Ovis aries: one gene and its partners. The protein of the gene in region 2 interacts with the protein of the main gene of each other region in a pairwise test. Links are inferred from orthologs where the notes say so. Each region holds a gene or a part of one and is shown on either strand. Other genes may lie near its edges. The genes, in order: RHOBTB3, UBXN11 and EIF4E.

Evidence for each region.
Region 1: the proteins of UBXN11 (region 2) and RHOBTB3 interact in binary tests that used the Homo sapiens proteins (3 or more experiments, as listed by UniProt). The two-hybrid records come from large-scale screens. The link is inferred for Ovis aries from reciprocal best matches to the Homo sapiens genes UBXN11 and RHOBTB3.
Region 3: the proteins of UBXN11 (region 2) and EIF4E interact in binary tests that used the Homo sapiens proteins (3 or more experiments, as listed by UniProt). The link is inferred for Ovis aries from reciprocal best matches to the Homo sapiens genes UBXN11 and EIF4E.

What each region holds. Positions count from the first base shown.
Region 1 is NC_056058.1:92,674,144-92,678,435, reverse strand, and holds the start of RHOBTB3 (rho-related BTB domain-containing protein 3), read right to left. Parts: upstream 2,808-4,292; 5' UTR 2,157-2,807; coding exon 2,155-2,156; intron 2,147-2,154; exon of another isoform or gene 1,999-2,146; coding exon 1,773-1,998; exon of another isoform or gene 1,768-1,772; intron 1-1,767. UniProt on the Homo sapiens protein: Rab9-regulated ATPase required for endosome to Golgi transport. Involved in transport vesicle docking at the Golgi complex, possibly by participating in release M6PRBP1/TIP47 from vesicles to permit their efficient docking and fusion at the Golgi.
Region 2 is NC_056055.1:240,540,820-240,545,110, forward strand, and holds the start of UBXN11 (UBX domain-containing protein 11), read left to right. Parts: upstream 1-1,413; 5' UTR 1,414-1,469; intron 1,470-4,291. UniProt on the Homo sapiens protein: May be involved in the reorganization of actin cytoskeleton mediated by RND1, RND2 and RND3. Promotes RHOA activation mediated by GNA12 and GNA13.
Region 3 is NC_056059.1:26,273,055-26,276,646, reverse strand, and holds part of EIF4E (eukaryotic translation initiation factor 4E), read right to left. Parts: intron 2,316-3,592; coding exon 2,252-2,315; intron 1,549-2,251; coding exon 1,435-1,548; intron 1-1,434. UniProt on the Homo sapiens protein: Acts in the cytoplasm to initiate and regulate protein synthesis and is required in the nucleus for export of a subset of mRNAs from the nucleus to the cytoplasm which promotes processes such as RNA capping, processing and splicing.

The DNA of each region.
Region 1 (4,292 bases), on a different chromosome or scaffold from region 2:
TTTACTTACAACCTAGAGAAGAAAAGCATCTTTTAAAGAGTAGCTCTACAAACACATTCTACTATGCCTGAAGACCATTATAACCCAGAAAACTGTGCCTGGTTACATACAAACTCAATGCCTTAAAAAGGGCCAGAGTTAACCAAACAAAGGTGATTAGAATAATAAAACATAACAATCAAAAATCTAGACGACAAAGGTTAATTTTAACTGATTTGGAAGATTTCATTTAGTACAATCCATGGGATCACAAGCACTGCTTTTTGTTAAATTATTAATAATAACATCAACAGGAGTTAACTGCTCAAAAAAACAAAACAAAACAAAAAAAACAGGAAAGGTTATCCTAACATCCTAATTCAGCTTATTTTATTTCCCCTCCATTTATTTACTCTATTCACTCAATATTTGTCCAACTGAGTGTAGACCCAGTAAGTTTTTAGATTGTATGATTTTTCACAATGAAATGATCAAAGGGGAAGAAGGGTTTCATTTGTTTGCATGGACTCCAGCCAGTAAGTTCTCTACCCATGCTTCTTATGATCAGCATCATCAATGTCGTAATTAGGAGTTTAATAGCCTCCCTGTTAGACTGAAAAGGCCTGTTTTTCATTTATTTTAGTCTACTAACATAAATTTACTTTTCAGCTGAAAATTTATTTGGACAAGTGATCTTTTCTTTCTGTAATATGGAAATCCGCATAAGAAATGTTTTTACAGACATTTTATACATTTCTTTGGAAAGGTGTATCCTGTCTTTGTATAGGTGTAGCCTATAGTCCCTAATTCACTTTTCTTAAACTGTGGTTTAAATGTAAACCTCACATAAAGATAATCTCTATTTTTTTTCAGACCTTAAACCTTCTTCTGTTATAAAATATAACACTTAGCTGCAATGTAGATTCTATACTAGTAAAGACTCAGAAACTTTGAAATAAGATTACATGAAAACATTCTGGATGCTACTGCGTACTGAAAAACATTTATACCATCAGGATGTAGATTTCTTTCTTCTTTTATCACTCAAGAATTAGACTAGCATTTATCAACTTCATTACAATTTCTTCTAATCATCGCAAATTTTAAAGCTTTTTTCAAGTCCCAAAATAGTATCAGTAATATTTCTGATTTACGGGTCAGGAAAAAGAAATGGCTAAATATATCAGGAACATCTGCACTATTAAAATTAAAAACTAATTAAAAATTTTTTCAAAGTGCTATAAACGAGTTGTTTAAATTTAATTCTCAGTCCCTGACTTTCCCCCTCCTTTCCAGGGGTCCTATTTCTGAGCGGGCCCCCAGTGAAATGTATTTTGGCTCTGTTGAGCTTTCAGAGATCTTTATTTTTAGAACACTCATATTACTATATCCCCCACACAGGATAGGCAAGAAGAAGAAAAAAAAAAAAAAAACCCACTGCTCTCTGCTGGTGAAACTTAATGACCCGCGTCCCTTGGGGTTGGGACATTTAAGGGTTAGCTGTCTTAACCAAGAGACAACCCACAATCGTGAAACGTACGCCTAAGTGCTTCATATTCTCACTGGAGCTTTTTTTTTTTTTTCTTTTTTCTTTTTTGCCTTCTAAGAGTGTTCTTTGATTAGGCTGGCCCCTGCCCCCTGAAACGAAGGACCAAAGACTTTCCCCAAAATGTAAAAAAAAAAGAAAAGAAAACTCTCCCCCGGTGACCCGGACGTTGACATTCATGAAATGGGGGGGGGGGGGGGGGGAGAAAAGAAAGAAAAGGAAAGGAAAGCTCCGTCAGCCCCCTTACCCAGACGGGACAGTCGTGGACCACCAGCTTGACGTTCCCAAACGCGCTGGCCTGATACTCGGTGAACACGGGCCGCGCGGCCGCGCCGCTCGCGCTCAGCAACAAGCTGCTCTCGTCCCCGGAGACCAGCGGGCTTCTCCCCAGGTAGGCGCGGATGAGCCCCGACGGCCGGCTGTCCTGGTGGAACGCGTCCCCCTCGTTCCCCAGCGCCACGATGTGAATGGACCTAAGGCGGCCGAGACCAGGGGGAGAAGAGGCGCGTGGTGAGCGCGGGGGGCAGCGCGCGGCGAGGACGGGCGCGCGAGAGCCCCCCGGGCCCGGGGTGGGGCGCACGGCACGCGCCGGAGCTGGAGACCAGAGCGGGCCCGCGACGCGTACGTACATGATCTCCAGTCCCCCGGGCCCGGGCGGCGGCGCGGAGAAAGGTCGGCTCCTCGCGGCCTGCGGGGGGCCAGGCGGCGGCGTGGTTTCCGCCCCCCGCCACCACCACGCGCGCCCCCCAGCAGTCAGCTCATCCCGGGCCGCGTCTCCCCCTCCTCGCGCGCCTCCCGCGCGGCGCGGCCGACGCAGAGCGGGCGGGCGAGCGAGCTCCGGGGGCCGCGCGCGCGCCGCCAGCCAGTCAGGAAGTGCCGGGGCGCATCCCCGGGGCGGGGGGCCCCGCCGTCCCCGCTGCCGGGCCCCCGCCGCCGCCGCGGAGACTCGCCGGGCGCCGCGCTCCCCCGGCCGGGCGGCCCGCCGCCGCGCCTCCTGCTTCTGGCTCAGCGGCGGGTGGGGGAAAGCCGGGCCTCCGCCCCCCTCTGCGGGCCGGGCGGCAGCCGCACGTGCCGGCCTTGGAGAGGGGGGTGTCCTCGGGCGGACGCGGGGGCCTCGCTGCCCGCTGAGGCTCCCCCCCGAGCCGGGGCAGCGGCGGCGGCGGCGGGCGGGATACAAAGGAACGGCCTGCGCGGGGCGCCGCGGAATATAAATTAATAAATACGACGCCCCGGCCCGAGAGCTCCCGGTCACCAATCCGCCTGCAGCAAGTTTGTTCAACTCGAAAGGCTGTAACCGGAGCCGAGCGGGGGAAAGGGGGTGGGGGGCGGGGTGTGGTGATGGGGCGGTTGCGGCCCCTGCTCCCTAAAGACTAGGGGGTAAAAAAGGGTAAGGGAAGCCAGGGAATCCAGCCCCCGGCCGCTCCAGCAGCCCCCCCTTTTTTTCTACCCTCTTCTTGGCCTTGACCAAAAGTGTTTTTACCAAGTCTGCCGCTTGGTCATTTGTCAACATGTAGTACAGCTGTTTTCTACAATCATACTTGCGAGAGAAAAAAAAAGAAAGGCAACATTCATCGTGGTGCAGAAAGGGTTCTTTGTTCACGCACCAATTAATTCGCGAACGTCGCTTCTCGGGAGGATTATTTACTACTTCAAGCTATATTTGGCATCTTTTTTGACCAAAAGCCGAAGGATTTTGTTTTGTTTTGTTTTAAGTGTTGAGGTTCTGATTGTGATAGCTGTAGGAAGTCGTTACGCGTGAGGTTGTTTAACGTGTTTACAGACCAAATGCGAGCTTACGTGGGGGATTTTTCGGTACGCATTATGGCTACATGTTTAATAATAGCTCCTCAGACCAGCTGGAAAAATAACGATCATGCTAATGCAAGGATACTTTAGATTCTTTCATGATAACGCCTTGAACTAAAGGCTGTGAGTGTCCCCAAAGGGCCTCAAACTGCCTCGTTGCAAGTGAACACTGGAATCCATTGCGAAGAGGAGCCAGAGTTTACTCTGGGGCTCTGCCTCTCCATAAACATGAAAATTCTCGCAAGTGCTCCGTGTTGAAAGAGTTCTTGTTTATCCCTTTATTTATTTTGCCCTGCTTTAAAATGTTGCTGTTTCTTTTCTCAACAGAACTATTTTCAGGCTATGAAACAGGAGGTGCTGAGTAGGGCAGTTAAAACCCTAGGGTGAGAGGCGTTTGGAATGTGAGCAGCTTTTTATTGTGGGCCCCGGTTGCTCAGTTGAAAGGGGTTTAATAGTTTCTCGTGCCCAGATAGAGTATAATGGGGGGCATTCTTTACCTAAGGCACTGATGTTTAAAAATCGTATTTCCCTTTGCACCCAGTATAGTTTCTCTTTTAGTCTCTAGAAGCACCCCAAAATAGTACAAGATCATCTTTTCTCATGGGTCATCAATCACCACCAGTAACCCCAAGTCGAAAGCAAAGACACCGGAATGGTTGAACAGATACAGAAAATGTGGTATATACATAGAAATAGTATTCTGTCTAAGAAAAGAGGGAAATCCTGTCACATGTTGCAACATGAATGAATCTTGAGGGCAATAAGCTAGTCATAGAAAGACAAAGACTGCATTATTCCACTTACATGAGATATCTCAGGTAGTTAGACTCTTAGAAAGCAGAATGCTAGTTTTAAGGGGGCTTCTGGAAGAGGAAAATTTGGAGTTCAATGAGTGTGGAGTTTCTGTTTTGTAAAATGAAAATGTGAAATGAACTATTGCAAACAAGGTGCATGTGGTAAT
Region 2 (4,291 bases):
CTTCAGTTTTCTCATCTCTAAATCTCATAATTTTGGCATCTGGCACTTGGAAGATGCTCATTAATTGGTAGGTCCTTTCAGTTTCCAATTGGTGAGTAAAGAATGCCTCAAGGAGCCTGCCCTCCCCTAAAAGCAGTAGGTTAGAGAGTCAAATGGAAAATATTAATAAGTGCAGTTGGAGACATGCAGATAAAGGGCTTTGGTAGTTGAGCCAAGGTATAAGGAAGTGGGTGCCGGAAATCATAAGACACCCAGATCATCACAGCTGGATGACTGTGAGATAATGATAACAAAAGTTAAAAGCAGGAAGTGTTTTGAAAACTTACTCTGTATGGGTATTGTGATAGTTATTCAGTACGTATTGTCTCATTTAATTCTCATGGCAGCTCTGTGGGGTGGGTTTGTGGTGTTTGTTCAGTCACTGTCATATCTGATTCTTTGGGACCCCATGGACTGCAGCACACCAGGCTTTCCTGTCCTTCACTGTCTCCTGGAGTTTGCTCAAACTCATGTCCAGTGAGTCAGTGATGCCATCCAACCATCTCATCCTCTGTTGCCCTCAATCTTTCCCAGCATCAGGGTCTTTTCCCACAAGTCTAGTTTTCACATCAGGTGGCCAAACTATTGGAACTTCACCGTGAGCTTTTCCAATGAATATTCAGAGTTGATTTCCTCTAGGATTGACTGGTTTGATGTTATTCCCATTTAACAAAAGAAATTAAGGTAACTTGCTCAAGGACACACACACAGCCTGGGACTCCTGGTGCCAAAGACCATGCTCTTAACAAAACTACCTCTAGTTGCTCTAATCCAACAGGTTGTTTTTCATGTGAGGCTCAGGAAGGGGAAGGGTCTCACCCAAAGTCACTCTAAGTATCTTACCCAATGGCAGCAGTCTTACTCGAATTTTTACATAAAGGAAATAGAATCAGAGCGTCTCTTCGGGGCGCCAAGAAATTAGCAGAGAAATGCAGATTTAAGAAACATTTATTAAGTACTTGTATCATTTCAATTCATGCTCAAAAGAACTTCCCTTTAGTACTGTAGTGATCAGATGGAAAAACAAGCTCACCAGGATACATGTAATTTCTCCCAAAATCAATTTAATAAAACAGTGGCATGGTCAGGACTGCACATTCAGGTCTAGAGGCTTCCAGCAGCTTCGTGAACCTAATCCCAGTTCTCCGCTTTCTGTGCCTTGGAGTAATAGGAAAGGACTCTCAAATTGCCCTAAACCCAGAGTCCGCTCAGAGCGGCCGGTTTTGGGATTTGCAGTCTTCCCCGCGATGAGTTTAGACTTCGTGGGCCAATAGAATTCGAGTAGAGACAGCTGTACCCGCCTCCGCTGCCTCCTGGTTGCTCAGGGACTCCTCACGGATTAGCCAATGAGAAGCACAAGGGTCCTGGTTGCCTGGGAAACCGTGTGACAACAAGATGGCGGCGCCGCGGGTGGTTCTGCGGCTTGCGTGGTGAGTTACAGAAAGGCCTCAGACCTTTCTCCTCGTGGAGTCCCTCTCACATAGGCTGGGGCCCTCACCGCGAGAGCCTCGAGGATATGCGAGCCCCACATCCCGGCCCCTCCAGTAGACTCTCCGCGCCTGGGAGCAGATTCAGGCCGCTGCCTACCACGGCTACGGGCGGAGGCGGGGGGTTGGCGACGCAGCTTCCAGGGAGGGTCTGGTGGTGGAAGTCGGTGGTGAGCGCTTCCAGCTGAGATTTAGGGAATGAAGGTGTGCAGCCTGCTGGCCCGTGTCGGCGCTGGCGAGCACTGGGACCTGTTGCAAGACCAATTTGACTCTCAAAGCTTGAGTCTGAAGAAGCAGGCAGTCTAACCTTTAGCCGCCTCTGGCTTGAGGAGGAAGACACAGTCTCCCGCCCCAAGAAAAAACGCAAAGTGAAGGGAATAGACGTGGCTTTGCCCCCAGGGTTCCCAATCTGAGGGAGGAGACACAGCCCTTCTTCGCTCAAGAAGTCCCCAGGCTGAAGGAAAGGAATAGCCTTTGTCCTCAGGGGTCTCCTATGATCACATGGGAAAATTGATCTGGAGACTGTTGGATTGGCCTGGAGTGAGATTGGAAGCAGGGAAGTCGGTTTGGGGCCATTGTAACAGCCCCAAAGAAGGGCAGTGAGAGTCCCACTAGGATGGCCAGCAGGGGGCCACGGGAGGAGGAGCTATGTGTGAGAAACGTGCAGGGTTTACCCTGCAGGATTCCGGAACTGCAGGGATTAGAGGAGAAAAAGGAGGGAAATTTTTTGTGTTTGGATAATGAGGTCCTCTTCAGAAAGGGGAAGCGGGAGGAGCTTATTTCGAGAGATATTTGGTTTGGTTTGGAGACCAGGTCCTTTTTTTTCCCCCTATAATAGCTTTATTGAGATACAATACACATACTAGATACTTCACCTCTTTAAAATGTAAACTTCAGTTGTTTTTAGTATATTCACAGAGTTGTGCAGTCGTAACTACAATCAAATTTGAGAACATTTTCACCAGCCCCAAGGAAACCCTGTACCTTTAGCATCTCCCTCTCCCCAGCTCTTCCTAACACCTCCAGCCTTAGGCAACCATTAATCTATCTTGTCTCTATAGATTTACCCATTCTGGACTGAATCCTAACAGTTGGTGGTTTTTTGTGACTGATTTCTTTACCTTAGCATGTTTTCAAGGTCCATTGACACTGTGGTGTGTATTGCATTTCTTTCTTTTTTTTTGCCAAATAATATTTCATTGTAAGTGAAGTCGCTCAGTCGTGTCCGACTATTTGCGACCCCGTGGACTGTAGCCCATCAAGCTCCTCTGTCCACGGGATTCTCCAGGCAAGAATACTGGAGTGGGGTGCCATTTCCTTCTCCAGGGGACATTCCGGACCCAGGGATCGAACCCAGGTCTCCCTCATTGCAGGCAGACGCTTTAACCTCTGAGCCACCAGAGAAGGAAGGATATACTATATTTGTTTATCCACTTATTGGTTGATGAACATTTGGGTTGTTTCCAGTTTTGGGCTATTTACAAGTAATGCTACTTATGAACAGATACACAGGTTTCTGTGGATGTGAGTTTTCATTTCTCTTGGGTGTACACCTAGGCATGGAATTGCTGGGCCCTAAGATAACTGTTGAACCTTTAGTTCAGTTCAGTTCAGTCGCTCAGTCGTGTCCGACTCTTTGTAACCCCATGAATTGCAGCATGCCAGGGCTCCTTGTCCATCGCCAACTCCTGGAGTTCACTCAAACTCAGGTCCATCGAGTCGGTGATGCCATCCAGCCATCTCATCCTCTGTCGTCCCCTTCTCCTCCTACCCCTAATGCCTCTCAGCATCAGAGCCTTTTCCAATGAGTCAACTCTTCCCATGAAGTGGCCAAAGTACTGGAGTTTCAGCTTTAGCGTTATTCCTTCCAAAGAACACCCTGGACTGATCTCCTTTAGAATGGACTGGTTGTCCAAGGGACTCTCAAGAGTCTTCTCCAACACCACAGTTCAAAAGCATCAATTCTTTGGCGCTCAGCTCTTTTCACACTCCAACTCTCACATCCATACATGACCACTGGAAAAACCATAGCCTTGACTAGACAGACCTTAGTTGGCAAAGTAATGTCTCTGCTTTTGAATATACTATCTAGGTTGGTCATAGCTTTTCTTCCAAGGAGCAAGTGTCTTTTAATTTCATGGCTGCAGTCACCATCTGCAGTGATTTTGGAGCCCCACAAAATAAAGTCTCTCACTGTTTCCATTGTTTTCCCATCTATTTGCCATGAAGTGATGGGACCAGTGATGGGACTCCGTCTAGTCAAGGCTATGGTTTTTCCTGTGGTCATGTATGGATGTGAGAGTTGGACTGTGAAGAAAGCTGAGTGCCAAAGAATTGATGCTTTTGAACTGTGTTGTTGGAGAAGACTCTTGAGAGTCCCTTGGACTGCAAGGAGATCCAACCAGTCCATTCTGAAGGAGATCAGCCCTGGGATTTCTCTGGAAGGAATGATGCTAAAGCTGAAGCTCCAGTACTATGGCCACCTCATGCGAAGAGTTGACTCATTGGAAAAGACTCTGATGGTGGGAGGGATTGGGGGCAGGAGGAGAAGGGGATGACAGAGGATGAGATGGCTGGATGGCATCACTGACTTGATGGACATGAGTCTGAGTGAACTCCGGGAGTTGGTGATGGACAGGGAGGCCTGGTGTGCTGCGATTCATGTGGCCGCAAAGAGTCGGACATGAATGAGCAACTGAACTGAACTGAACTGAACTGAACTGATGGGACCAGAGGCTATGATCTTGGTTTTCTGAATGTTGAGT
Region 3 (3,592 bases), on a different chromosome or scaffold from region 2:
CTTATCTTCTCTTTGAGTAACCAACAAAAAAGGAACAAAGTTTTCTACCACTTTAATGGCAGAAGGTGAAGAGGAAGAGCCTCTTGATGAAGGTAAAAGAGGACAGTGAAAAAGCTGGCTTAAAGCTCAACATTCAGAAAAACGAAAATAATGATATCTGGTCCTATCACTTCATGGCAAACAGATGGGGAAAATGTGGGAAACAAGAGTCAGATTTCATTTTCTAGGGCTCCATCATCACTGTGGACGGTCACTGCAGCCACGAAATTAAAAGACACTTTCTCCTGGGAAACCTAGACAAACCTAGGCAAACCTAGACAACCTGACAAACCTAGACAAACCTAGACAACATATTAAAAAGCAGAGACATCACTTTGCGGACAAAGGTCCGTATAATCAAAGCTATAGTTTTTCCAGTGGTCATGTATGGATGTTAGAGGTGGACTATAAAGAAGGGTGAGCACCGAAGAATTGATGCTTTCCAACTGCAGTGCTGGAGAAGACTCTTGTGGTGCTGCAGAAGATTCTTGAAGAGAGTCCTGTGGACAGCAAGGAGATCATGCTAATCAATCCTAAAGGAAATCAACCCTGAATATTCACTGAAAGGACTGCTGCTGAGGCGCCAATACTTTGGATACATGCTGCAAAAAGCTGACTCATTATAGAAGACCCTGATGATGGGAAAAATTAAAGGCAAGAGGAGAAGAGGGCAACAGAGGATGAAATGGTTGGATGGTGTCACTGACTCAATGGACATGAGTTTGAACAAACTATGGGAGATAGTGAAGGACAGGGAAGCCTAGAGTGCTGTAGTTCATGGGGTCACAGAGTCAGAAACAACTTAGCAACTGAATAACAACAACAACTTGGAAGAAAAGTTATGACCAACCTAGACAGCATATTCAAGAGCAGAGACATTACTTTGCCGACTAAGGTCCATCTAGTCAAGGCTATGGTTTTTCCTGTGGTCATGTATGGATGTGCGAGTTGGACTGTGATGAAAGCTGAGTGCCGAAGAATTGATGCTTTTGAACTGTGGTGTTGGAGAAGACTCTTGAGAGTCCCTTGGACTGCAAGGAGATCCAACCAATCCATTCTGAAGATCAACCCTGGGCTTTCTTTGGAAGGAATGATGCTAAAGCTGAAACTCCAGTACTTTGGCCACCTCATGCAAAGAGCTGACTCATTGGAAAAGACCCTGATGCTGGGAGGGATTGGGAGCACAAGGAGAAGGGGATGACAGAGGATGAGATGGCTGGATGGTATCACTGACTCGATGGACATGAGTTTGAGTGAACTCCGGGAGTTGGTGATGGACAGGGAGGCCTGGCGTGCTGCGATTCATGGGGTCGCATACAGTCGGACGCGACTGAACTGAACAACAACAACAAAGTTTTAGTATTCAAAAACAGCTTTATAATTTTAAAACCTTACTGTCTCTAGCCAAAAACGATCGAGGTCACTTCGTCTCTGCTGTTTGTTCAGTGTAATAAGCCATCGTCCTCCTCGTTTGTTTTTCTCATCTTCCCACATAGGCTCAATACCATCCTACAAGGTTAGGGGTACAACAATATGAGACAATATTGTTAGTTTAACTTAAGATAATGACTAAAAACAGTAAGCAACAACCGTGTTAATTGTTTACTTTATACTCATAAAACTGTTATTGAGGTAGTGCGAAAGCACACAAAACTTAAAGCCAGAGGCATGGGATTGCAAAAACAGAGCCTTGACTAGGGCACTTAATAGCTATCAAATCTGGGGTTTGACTTAATTTGGAGGTTCTAAAGTAATATACTTTGGAGGTTCTGAGTAACAGACACCTTTTAGAAGCCATGCACATTTCTACATCTAAAAAATACATATGAAAGCTATACCACTTCAGAGAGCTAATGACTGTCCCACCCACTAACAGCTGACAAAACTCATATAAGTATCTCAAGGACGCACATACTCCTGACAAACTGCACTTCGGTCTACTCAAGTATATAAAGAAGAAATAAGAGTGGATAATCAAAGATCTCCTCAAAATCAATCACAGTATGTGTCCATACCGCCAAATTCTCACTTAATTTCAATTATTTATACTAAAAGAAGCCAAAATATACTTATGCTAAAATATGGTAAAGCTAATACAATTATTCTCCAAGCATCACAACATTAACTATTTCTAAGTTCATGGTAAGATTTTAATGAATACCTGAATGGTCCAGTCTTATAAAAAATATATGAAGTCACCAATTAAGCATACCTTAAAAAGTGAGTAGTCACAGCCAGGCATTAAATTACTAGACAACTGGATATGGTTGTACAGACTAGGTAAAAGAAAAGAACAATTATAAACATAGAAAATGTAGTGTAGAGTTTAGGTGTTTATATGTACATTCAGAGAATATGATAAAAATAAACAAGATAAAAACTCATTTACTTTTTTCCCACTATGGAGTCAATTTCTGAAACAGACCAAACAGATCTTAATAACAGTCAGCTTTAAGAATCAACATCTAATGATTTTTAGAAATATCTTCAGTGATTTTATCCTGACAATTTTGGTGCATTAGTTAACTTAATATATACATATTATTACAAGAAACTGAGAAGAGAGGTACCAGATGCCTTTAAGTAAATGAAAGAATCCAGGAGGCTAATAAGCCATTTTAAACACACAAAAAGACAAATCTAGAGAAAGTAAGACAAAACTCCCTGATCATCAGGATTGCATGACTAAACTAAGTCAACATTACTATTATCTGTGAAAGTACCAAAGAGCGGAAAAGATCAACAGTCCCCAAACACTACACACTATTACTAGTTTAAGTCAGCAAGCACAATAATCTTTGGGGGAACTTTTAAAGACAGAATAGTTCTACATCCTACTTCTTAGAATTTTAATTCCTTAAATACAGGCTGGAACCACAGAATGTGTATTTCTAAACTATTTCCCAAATAGCAATGTAACAGATTAACATTTGGGATGAATTAGGTATTCCACTAGCCTGAAGGCAGAATGCTAGATTGGATCCAAAGTGATGATCTTATACAACTAGCAATAATACCACACGGATGGTTATTTCCCTTATTAAGATTTTCTTACTGCTATTTTAACCCAGTCTGTGAGTATTTCAAGTAGAGTTTTAAGAAAGAGTCAAGGATTCTCTGGATGACATCTCACAGTTTAACAACAAATCCAATTTGAATGAGAGAGCATTAAGACAGCATACAGCTTGTTGGGTTATTCTATCTAGTAGTAACTCTTTCCAAACTAGATTATCACTGACAAGATTCCACTAGGCCAGAAGAGAGACATGGATACTAACAGTAACTACAGAATTAGAACCACCACTTCTATACAGTTAATGTCTAGTGTGGAAGGGACATTCTTCAATGGCGTTCAAAGTAGAAAAGACCAATGATTCTTTCTGCTGTCTTCTTTCTCCTTAATCATGCTCTAAGGTCTCTTACTAAGTTTACAATTAGAATCTGTTAATGGCACACTTAAATAGAATCCTAATGCTACAGACAAGACTAGATTAAAAAAAAAAAAAAAAAAAAAACCTCAATAGCTGTTTCATTAAATTTGTCCCCCAAAAGG